Kluyveromyces lactis: one gene and its partners. The protein of the gene in region 3 purifies or fractionates together with the protein of the main gene of each other region. This does not show direct contact. Links are inferred from orthologs where the notes say so. Each region holds a gene or a part of one and is shown on either strand. Other genes may lie near its edges.

Region 1 (3,712 bases), on a different chromosome or scaffold from region 3:
AAATTAAAGGATCTAGCGGTGGTAGAAGTAGAGGGTATGGTTTTGTTGAATTCAGGGATCATAAAGCTGCGCTAATGTGTCTAAGATGGTTAAATGCTCATGAAGTCAGTAGGGACGAAATCTTAGAAGGACTTACGGATGATGAAAAGAAACAGCTTGATGCAGACAGTTTCAAAAAAAGAAGACTGGTGGTCGAATTTGCTATCGAAAACGCTAACGTTGTGAAGAGAAGAAGAGAAAAGGTCAAAGAATCTAGATTGATATCTTTCAAGAGAAAAAGAGATGATGAAGAGAATAAAGAAGAAGAAAAAGTGGCTCAACCAGTAGAAGAGGAAACAAAATCTGGTCTAAGTAATAATATTAAACAGATTATTGGATCTAAACGTAGAAGAAAGAACAAGGGCCGTTCTTGAATGTAAACAATAGTCAAAGGCAAAAATTCAAAGCATTCCGAAGCAATGAAGTTTCTAGGATATAAAATCTGTATATTAAATAACATGCATTTCAATTATAGAATCATTTTCTCTTTTTCCGTGCTGATCCTCCGGTTGCAGTATTGCTTGTGGGGTTGTTTCCATTACCAGACACAGCAGCTGCAGCGGCAGCTGCCGCTGCTGCTGCCAAGATACGTTTGTTTACACCTAATCCGTTCATGTTCCCATTCTTATTATTATTGTTACCATGCATTGGTTGTTTTTGAGAGTGATTAGCTTGATTATTATCATTGCCGACATTCGTAATGTCGTTATCGTTTGTGTGAATGCGCCTTGGTGGGTATTTGTAGTTGAGACCCTCGAACACATTTTCACAGACAGGAGGGTCGCCGTTGGTGAAATAGACATGGTCTAAAGCGTCGATTGCATCGATTCTCTTGATAGGATCATACTGCAATAGACGGTAAAGAATGTCTAAAGCAGTCTTGTCCTTACCGCCAGCGGTCTGATACCATGCTGTTAAATTGTCACGATATTTTGGCATTTTTGCCAACTGAAGATATTCTGGATAACTGTCGATATTCGGCCATATTTTATGATCTGGCGAACCCATGACTTCCAATATTTTTTGAAACTGATTAGCTTGAAACAGAACACTCTTCTTGGACTCCATCTTGGCCTCTTCACCTTTAAAGATTGGCCTTAAACCGATGAGTTCTGCAAAAATACAACCAACAGCCCAAAGATCTATTGCAGGAGTATAATGTCGAGCTCCAAGTATAAGTTCTGGGGCACGATACCAAATTGTTACAATAACCTTATCACCAGTGTATAAAGTCTGTACCATGTTATTGAATTTTCTCGCTAGACCAAGATCACCGATCTTGACGCAGCCATCAACGGTAACCATAATGTTAGCGGGCTTTAAGTCTCTATGAAGAATCCAGTTCTGATGCAAATAAGAAACACCATCAAGAATTTGCCACATTATTGATTTGAGCATCCTTGGCGGTATTAGTCTCTTTTCAGGATGCGAATGAAAATGGATAATTTGTAAAAGATCATGTTCAGCAAACTCTGAGACCATGTAGATGCTCTTCTTCTCTAGGAATATTTCAACTAATTTCGTTAAATGGTTATTATCCAATTCTCTACAAAGTGACATCTCTCTGCATGCACTTTGTGAGATACCTGTGTAATGCTCGACACCTTCTCTTTCCGTTTTGAACTTCTTAATAGCATAGAACTGAATTTGAGAAGGCTTTCTGGAGTTGTTTGTTATACTCGACGAATTTATCCTTACATTTGTTTCTGATCCACTATTAGACCGTATCTGTGTTGAGTTGCTATTATTTGGAGGTGTGAATCGCTTGTGGGAAGGCTTCCTAAAGTCCATGGTTGTAAGGTTGTCGTTAGCCTCCTGTTGTCTAGTGGATCTGTTGATTGAATTTATATCCAAATTTGAATCAGCACTCACAGAATCCGGAGAATCTAGTATTATTACGTTGTCTCTATTCATACCATTCTGATAATCCCTCGCTTTAGCTTTGTAAACTTTACCATACGTACCAGCTGCAATATACCCGATAATCTCGTACTTTTGTAACACCGAGATTCTTGAACTATCCTTTCGTTGACGGTATGGACCAATAGAGAAAACATTATTACTAGCCATCACAATCGGAGGCTTCGATTGGTTTCCAGCTGGTTTATTGTTATTAAGGATCTGTTGAGAATGGCCCGCTAACATTTCCTGATGTGACAGTTGTTGAGGCCAGCGATTAGTACCCTGGCCTTGGCCGTTATTCATTCGATAATACGACATTTGATATGGATTGGAGTTGTTTTGTTGGTTGCCGTACATTACAGCAGTAAATCGCAGTCTATAAAAAGTGATAGAATGCTGTATCCGCCGAGAGCTTGTCTTTATATTCTCAAAGCGTTCAACGTTTAATCATTTTTCTAATGGATCACTTCGCTTTAAATTCTTATAAAAACGTCAATATAAGAACCATTCGTTGTTCTGTGAAGAAAGAGTCATTAGATAATAAAGTAGCCAACTCTGGCCTGATATGTCGTTGTATCATGAATAAATAGTTAGTCGTAGCTGAATTTATTACTATTATCAAGGATTTGAGACACTAACTGTAAACTAATCGTAGTTGTCTTCATAAATATGATCCATGAAGTTTTATAATAATAAGATGAATGCGAGTCTATATATAAATTAGTCTATTTACATCAGTGCCAATGGAAGATCAGGTTTTAGCTCAACGACGAATTAATGCCCTAAGTTTGGTAAAAGGCATTATTACGAAAGTTCCAACATATGGAGCTGCCCATAAACTGAAAAGTATCCGAGCAGGATACAATACTTTAACAATGGCGTATGCAAGAGCCCCAGATACAACTAATCTATCTCTATCCCAGCCATTATCGTAATCTCCAATTAATTTACCTATACTTTCACCACATTTGTTCAACAAATCCTTGAAATATACTGGCATCTCATATTGGTCAGACAGATCTAAGTTATAAAGCAGTCCCCATAGAGCAAACAAAGGAACGATAGCAGTAATTTCGTGAAGGATTAAGAATGATGTCATTGTAGAAACGGCGCCGGCTTCAGAAAGTTTATCGAAATAATGTTTGTAACGAGGATTACCGTTCAATCTTGTCAGGAATTTGGACTTTTTGATCAGCCGATGCAGCCTATCATCAATTTTCGATGGTTCGACCTTGCTCGAGTTATACCGTATCCCATTGATAAATAATTTCGCCGGGCCTCTCTTTTGGATTATCGAGTACCTATTACCGATTACCATTTTGGAACAGCTAGTGCCAAGCCCTGGCAATGATTGCAGTAATTTCATATTTCTGTGTGTTGGAGTATGTGTATGTCTACAACAAGTACAGCGAGCCCTTCGGAGATCAAACAAAATATTATATAGCAGTGATTACGCCACTATGATGTCTAACAGTCGTTGAATTAATTTATGGTGTGATATCTTTATCGTATTGATAAACCTTCGCATGTCTATGTTCATGCCTGTTGTTAAAAAGAATACTATTTACAAGTGATTTATGTGAAGGTCATGTGATCATAATGCATTAATAACTTCCTCGCAACGATTGCACAGAGTGTCCTCACTTGGGGAGTTATGCTTCCAGCATCTAGGACATTTATCAGACGTACTTTCTTCTAGCAGTAACTGGATGTCAACTGATGGTAGTGAGATCGATTCTAGGTCGGATCTATTACCGTGCTCAATATTTAG
Region 2 (2,293 bases), on a different chromosome or scaffold from region 3:
AAAAAAATCAATTACACCAAAGCACTCATTGAAAAGAAACTCTGATCCAATTCTGACACCAATTTTAAGGCCATCAGAATACTTAGACTCTCCAAGAACCAGAAGGTCAGTTGATGATGTTTTATTATGCTATCTACAGCCTAGTGATGCTGGATCGTCATTGGATGAAAGCTCTAGTGAGTTTTCCTACGCTAGAAATTCAAACATTTACTATAAATCTATTCTATGATCTTCACCCGTGGCCAGGGCCATTCCATTCACTTTCACAATTGTTCTCAAGAAAATATACCCATCTTTCACTCGTTATTGCATTTACTGAAATCAGCTCTCTTTTTGATACAGATTAACCCTTCGTCGTTCATTTATTAATAATTAATCCCCAATCTGCATGTGTACAGATATACACTCATTGTACGTCTTTCAATTGGCGCCATCCAACGTTATTTTCGTTTCCAGTAAACTGTTCTTTCCAAATTAGCAATTGTACAGATAGTTTTCTTTTGTATTAACTCTGATATAAGATCATTCCCATAGCAATTATAAAGTTCTTAAGCTGAATTTGACAGAGTCCCTAGTGCGTCAAGTAGACCATTAAGAGTACGTCGAAGTTCTAGTAGTTGATAAAGTACCGGCATCGAAGCTTTGAAAGATAATTGACATTGTTTCAAAGAGCTTGGGATTGAAAGGGCACCTCCGAACATATATATAGGATCCTTCTTCACCTTTGCCAATAGTTTTTCTCTTTGTTTTCTCTTCTTTAAATTCTCATTGGTTGCTTCATCTTTCTCAGGAATGATTTCTTCGTCATTGGCAATATGCAACGGCTCTTCAGTCTCCGAAACAGAGTGCTTGTCATTAATGGAGATATACCTGTTTCCTGTATAAGTTTCGTCCCAGTAATCCTTACCATATGATCCTCGAAGTGTGTTCTTATTGTGATAATTCGCTCTGCTCAACTGATGGTAACCTTCTTCAAAACTAGCTTGCAACTGCTCTAATAGAGAATCATAGGTTGCAAGATTCTTAACAATGAGTTGATATATGTCATCCTCCGTCATCATTGGTTTCCTAGCGTCTATTAATATCCAAATCGTGGCAGTTTCTTCTCATATTACGTATATTATTCAGTCATAAACGTTTTAAACCAAACTTTTGAAGTTGTCTGAAATATTTGTAACTTAATCATAGTCAATGATTTATATAAACGAATTCGAAGGTGAAAGAAAGTTAGCAATATTGCGACAAACCAGCTCCAGTAGAGGCAAGGAAGAGTGTACAAAAATGACCGATAGATTAACCCAGTTACAAATATGTTTGGACCAAATGATGGAACAATTTTGCGGTGCAGTAAATTATGTCGATAAGAACCATGGTTTTGAACCAAGTAACGATTCAGAAGAGCAGATGTCAGATCCTCAGGCCCACATTGTTGAGGAAAAGGAATTTGAAAAGAACATAGATGAATTGACAACAGACATCATACTTAAAACAAGGCAGATAATGGCTCTAATAGATTCTCTACCCGGAGTAGACGTATCTGCACAAGAGCAACTACATAGGATAGATTCACTACAGAAACAATTGATCAAAATGGAGAAGGAAAAGATAGACGCGATAAAAAGGAAGGACGCTTTGCAAGAAAAAGTAAGAACACTTACCCAAGACTTTACGATTGGCATTAATGAATCGAAGACAGAAGCACGCTTAGTATAAGAAAGGAATCATTTTGAAATCTTCGGTAGAAATTGGGTCACATGTTAACGTCAAATTGCGAGTAAGAATACTTTTACATAGTGTCTAATGTATCAAGTGGTATATAGTAGATATTTAGCTTCTTTTCCTTTTCTTCTTCTCCGAAACGATGTCAGACAGATTGTCTGACATCGTTTATTTTTATAATGACACGCAACATCATCACTAAACATAGCATCCGCATGCCCCGTCATGCCACCACCGCTCGCTGTGATATTCTTGGTTCTATAACACAGAGAACTGTGAAAGAATGATCACCGCAAATAATAGAGAGGGCATATACTGGTTAACGGAAAGATTTCTGTGCAGGCTGTAAGTAAAAATGTATAAGTGCAGGATCCAACCTAAAAATGCCTCCAAGGTGACTTCTCTTTTCATTAATTGGTTTGCAGTGGTATTAAGTAAAGTATCTTCAAAAATATTCCAAGATAACCAGGAATATGCTTCCATGAAAGTGTACACGCCCACAGATACCGTAGAAGTTATCCATAAGATTTTACCGATTTGGTTGTTATTGTCGAAAAGAATCGGCCAAGACAGG
Region 3 (3,326 bases):
CTTTCAGCTTGAGTGGAAATGACACCTTTCTCAGTCAAGGCACCGTTCAACAATTCGAAGTAAGATTGTTGGAACAAAGAGGCGGCTGGACCTTCCGGGTCAGATGAGTCAGTGATGATAACGTCAAAAGTGTTTTGGTAGTCTCTCAAGAATTGGAATCCATCACCGATATGAGTCTTGACCTTAGGATGGGAATAAGACTTCGCCATCTCTGGTAAGTACTCCTTGGAAACTCTGATAACAGCTTCGTCAATGTCACATAACCAAGCTTCTTGGACGGAATCATGCTTGACAATTTCTCTCAAGACACCGCCATCGCCACCACCGATAACCAAAACCTTCTTTGGGTTTGGGTGAGAGTTTAATGCCAAATGGGCAATCATCTCCTGGTATGAGAACTCATCACGCTCGGTGACTTGAATAGCGTTATCCAAAACCAAAACGTTACCATAATCAGTAGACTTGAAAACCAAAACGTCTTGGTACTTAGATTTTTCATGGTGTAAGATCTTTTCCACACGCAAAGTCATGGCTTGACCTGGCCACATGGTATCAGAGATTTCTCTGAACCATCCGTCAACAATCGTAGGATGTGTTAATTCTGACATGATTTCTACTTGCTTCTTTTCGACTCCACTAAAGATTTAATAAAGCCAGACAATATGGTAGATCAGATAGTGAACCAATTGAGTGCTAACAGAAAGTAGGAGTATAACCTTTTCTTATTTATGATTCTGTATTTAAATCCCATTTGCTGTTTCTTTCATATGCATTTTGCTCATCAAAATTTTTCAGTTCAAGCTAAATCGATAAGCCAGTCAGGGCCCTGACAATGTGAGAATACGGAAAATTTTTCCTTTTGACGGACCTTTGATAAGAGGGTAAGCAGCCTGCTTGCTGCCTTGTTTCTGCTCTAGTGTATTTAATCGGTTGATGTGTCACATCGATTAAGGTTATCGAGGTGTGTTAACTGTTTCGGAATGATATCTTTGTATATGCGCCTGACAGTTCACATGACATGGTATATAGAATAAGCTACTTTCAACCAACTGATCGGTTAGTCGGCCTGGATGGTGCTATATGTTGAGGGATCTGGCTCATGAGCAATCACACTCTCTTGCATCATTCTCTTAGTAACGGTTATTTGTGTGTATGTGCAGAAATTGCCAAGAATGGTCGAAGTAATTCCAGATGTTGAGAGAATGTGTGTCTCTCAACACCAGTTGTAACATTTAATTTCACAGTGCAAACATTCCTCAACCGATAGTAGAAAGGTGGATACAACCCACCAATGACTTCTTGATTGTCTCTCTCTAGAAACCAGGTATCGTTCACTTAACACGATGTAATACATTATGGAATATCCGGGTAATAATTGTTCCTAATGAAACATCGAAAGATTAAATAACCAAGTGCGCTATGCTATGAGTACCAATGATAATTACATGAGGACAATTGGGTGAGTAAGGATTCATCGCGTACCGAGTCTATTGTTACATAGTAGTGATCTGAGGGGTCTTGAATTGAAAGGAAAAAGCATCAAAAATGTCTGATGCATTTGTGGAATTGCTAGATGAAATGATTGAAAGGCTTTTGAATTATAAACCAGGAAGTCGGACTCTACCCAATGTTATCAAGCTGTGCCAAACATTAGGATTAGAATCATTTGTGGATCAAGTGGATAGTACCAAGTCAAGGTTATCAATTGCATCTAACATTGTGGTCATTGATATTGATTATGAGAATGAGATGGAGACCATTTTAGATGTTAAATTGGTCTTAGCGTCAAACTTCGATAAATTCAACTACTTTAACGAAAAGGGTGAAAATATACTATTGACATCACTTTCTGACGTCCAAGATTTGAAGGCTTTCCATCATAACTTGAATTTTTTGGTTTTCTTGGATTCTTTCTCCAACATCGACATCGAATCTGGCCACACGAGTCTTGATTTATTTAAATACTATACTGATCTGCCTAAGATGTTACAAGACTATATTAGTGATCAGCATTTGCCATTTACAGTGAAGATGAATGAAAATTCCACGTTTGGAGTATCAATATATGATGCCCAGGGTCAAACTAAGATTATGACTGTGGATTTGGAAAAAGCTCCTAATTCGGATAGATCTTTTTATGAATATGTGTATGACTCTAAACTAAAAGACTGGCTTAACGAATCATCTGATGCATCTACGCAAGGAATTAATCTCGTATTCAAATTTGAAGAACTAGTAGCGTTCCCAGAAACGTGGCTTACCACCGAGATACAGATGAATGAAACTCCAAAAAAGTTTGAACTACCACAACAATCGCATTTGAAACATACAGTTAAACTACAGAATGAACTCACATCAGATCTGTTACTTATGGATTCGTTTAGGATATCCAATGAAGATATAGCATTGTTGCCAGATTTTTTGAAGTGGTACAATTGGCATAAAATAGTTCTCCAAGAAGTTTTAAAATTAATTATTCATGACAACGTTACCAGTAGCATCTCGACCTCGAACTCTGGAAGTGTACAACCAAAACCAAGAAGAAAGTCCAGCGTGCTAAGTAATAGGAGGCCAAGTATGACAGATTCCATGATGTTGAGAGATTCTGGTATACCGGAATTCACTTTGAAGGAGATCTTAGATCAGCCTGTAATATCAGACACCGAAGATGATGATCAAATGGACGTCGACAAAGAAAAACAGATTCCTATTGTTCTGAACGAGGAATATATATATATAGGAAAAGCCCAGACTTGTTCATATAACGATAATGATGAACAAGCATGGAAAGCCTTTATAGACTACTTGAAATCTAAGCTTATATAAAAAGAATTAACGTTCACTTCAGTTTTATGATGTAGTAATATTTGAGTATAGCATTTTTTGGAAGTAAAATTTTGGTGAAATAACGCTGACGACATACGCTTCATTCATCCCAAGATTAATTTGTGGATTTGCGTTGATTTAAAGAGGTTTTTAAGCAACATTCATATAAATGATTCAAGAAATTTAGGCACTATGGCCGAGTGGTTAAGGCGACAGACTTGAAATCTGTTGGGCTCTGCCCGCGCTGGTTCAAATCCTGCTGGTGTCGTTATTTTTTTTCGTTTTTAAATTACACGGACGAAGAAGCAAGTGCCATGTATTGATTGCTGTTGCTCCTACTCTGCATCTGCTAAACTATGGTGGTTTAGTGTATCCTTATTGCCTTATTGAGAGTATTTATTGAGTATATAATATCGACCAGGAATTTGCAGTACCAGTCATAATTTCAAATCCTGAGCAAGTTTGATACCCTGGGCAACATTTTGAACCCTAGCATCTAA

Evidence for each region.
Region 1: the proteins of MED1 (region 3) and SSN3 purify together in Saccharomyces cerevisiae (affinity purification with mass spectrometry; 3 studies listed by BioGRID, with this or other methods). This does not show direct contact. The link is inferred for Kluyveromyces lactis from reciprocal best matches to the Saccharomyces cerevisiae genes MED1 and SSN3.
Region 2: the proteins of MED1 (region 3) and SRB7 purify together in Saccharomyces cerevisiae (affinity purification with western blotting; 4 studies listed by BioGRID, with this or other methods). This does not show direct contact. The link is inferred for Kluyveromyces lactis from reciprocal best matches to the Saccharomyces cerevisiae genes MED1 and SRB7.

What each region holds. Positions count from the first base shown.
Region 1 is NC_006040.1:1,006,724-1,010,435, forward strand, and holds SSN3 (cyclin-dependent serine/threonine protein kinase SSN3), read right to left. Parts: upstream 2,299-3,712; coding exon 517-2,298; downstream 1-516. Other genes in the region: mRNA-binding ribosome biosynthesis protein NOP4, read left to right, coding at 1-413; MRX11 (Mrx11p), read right to left, coding at 2,705-3,307; isoleucine--tRNA ligase ISM1, read right to left, coding at 3,536-3,712. UniProt on the Saccharomyces cerevisiae protein: Component of the SRB8-11 complex. The SRB8-11 complex is a regulatory module of the Mediator complex which is itself involved in regulation of basal and activated RNA polymerase II-dependent transcription.
Region 2 is NC_006039.1:1,290,736-1,293,028, forward strand, and holds SRB7 (Srb7p), read left to right. Parts: upstream 1-1,281; coding exon 1,282-1,713; downstream 1,714-2,293. Other genes in the region: GIC2 (Gic2p), read left to right, coding at 1-229; VMA22 (Vma22p), read right to left, coding at 549-1,061; PMT7 (putative dolichyl-phosphate-mannose--protein mannosyltransferase), read right to left, coding at 1,978-2,293.
Region 3 is NC_006038.1:818,670-821,995, reverse strand, and holds MED1 (Med1p), read left to right. Parts: upstream 1-1,545; coding exon 1,546-2,826; downstream 2,827-3,326. Other genes in the region: SPE3 (spermidine synthase), read right to left, coding at 1-608; YSA1 (ADP-ribose diphosphatase), read right to left, coding at 3,264-3,326. UniProt on the Saccharomyces cerevisiae protein: Component of the Mediator complex, a coactivator involved in the regulated transcription of nearly all RNA polymerase II-dependent genes.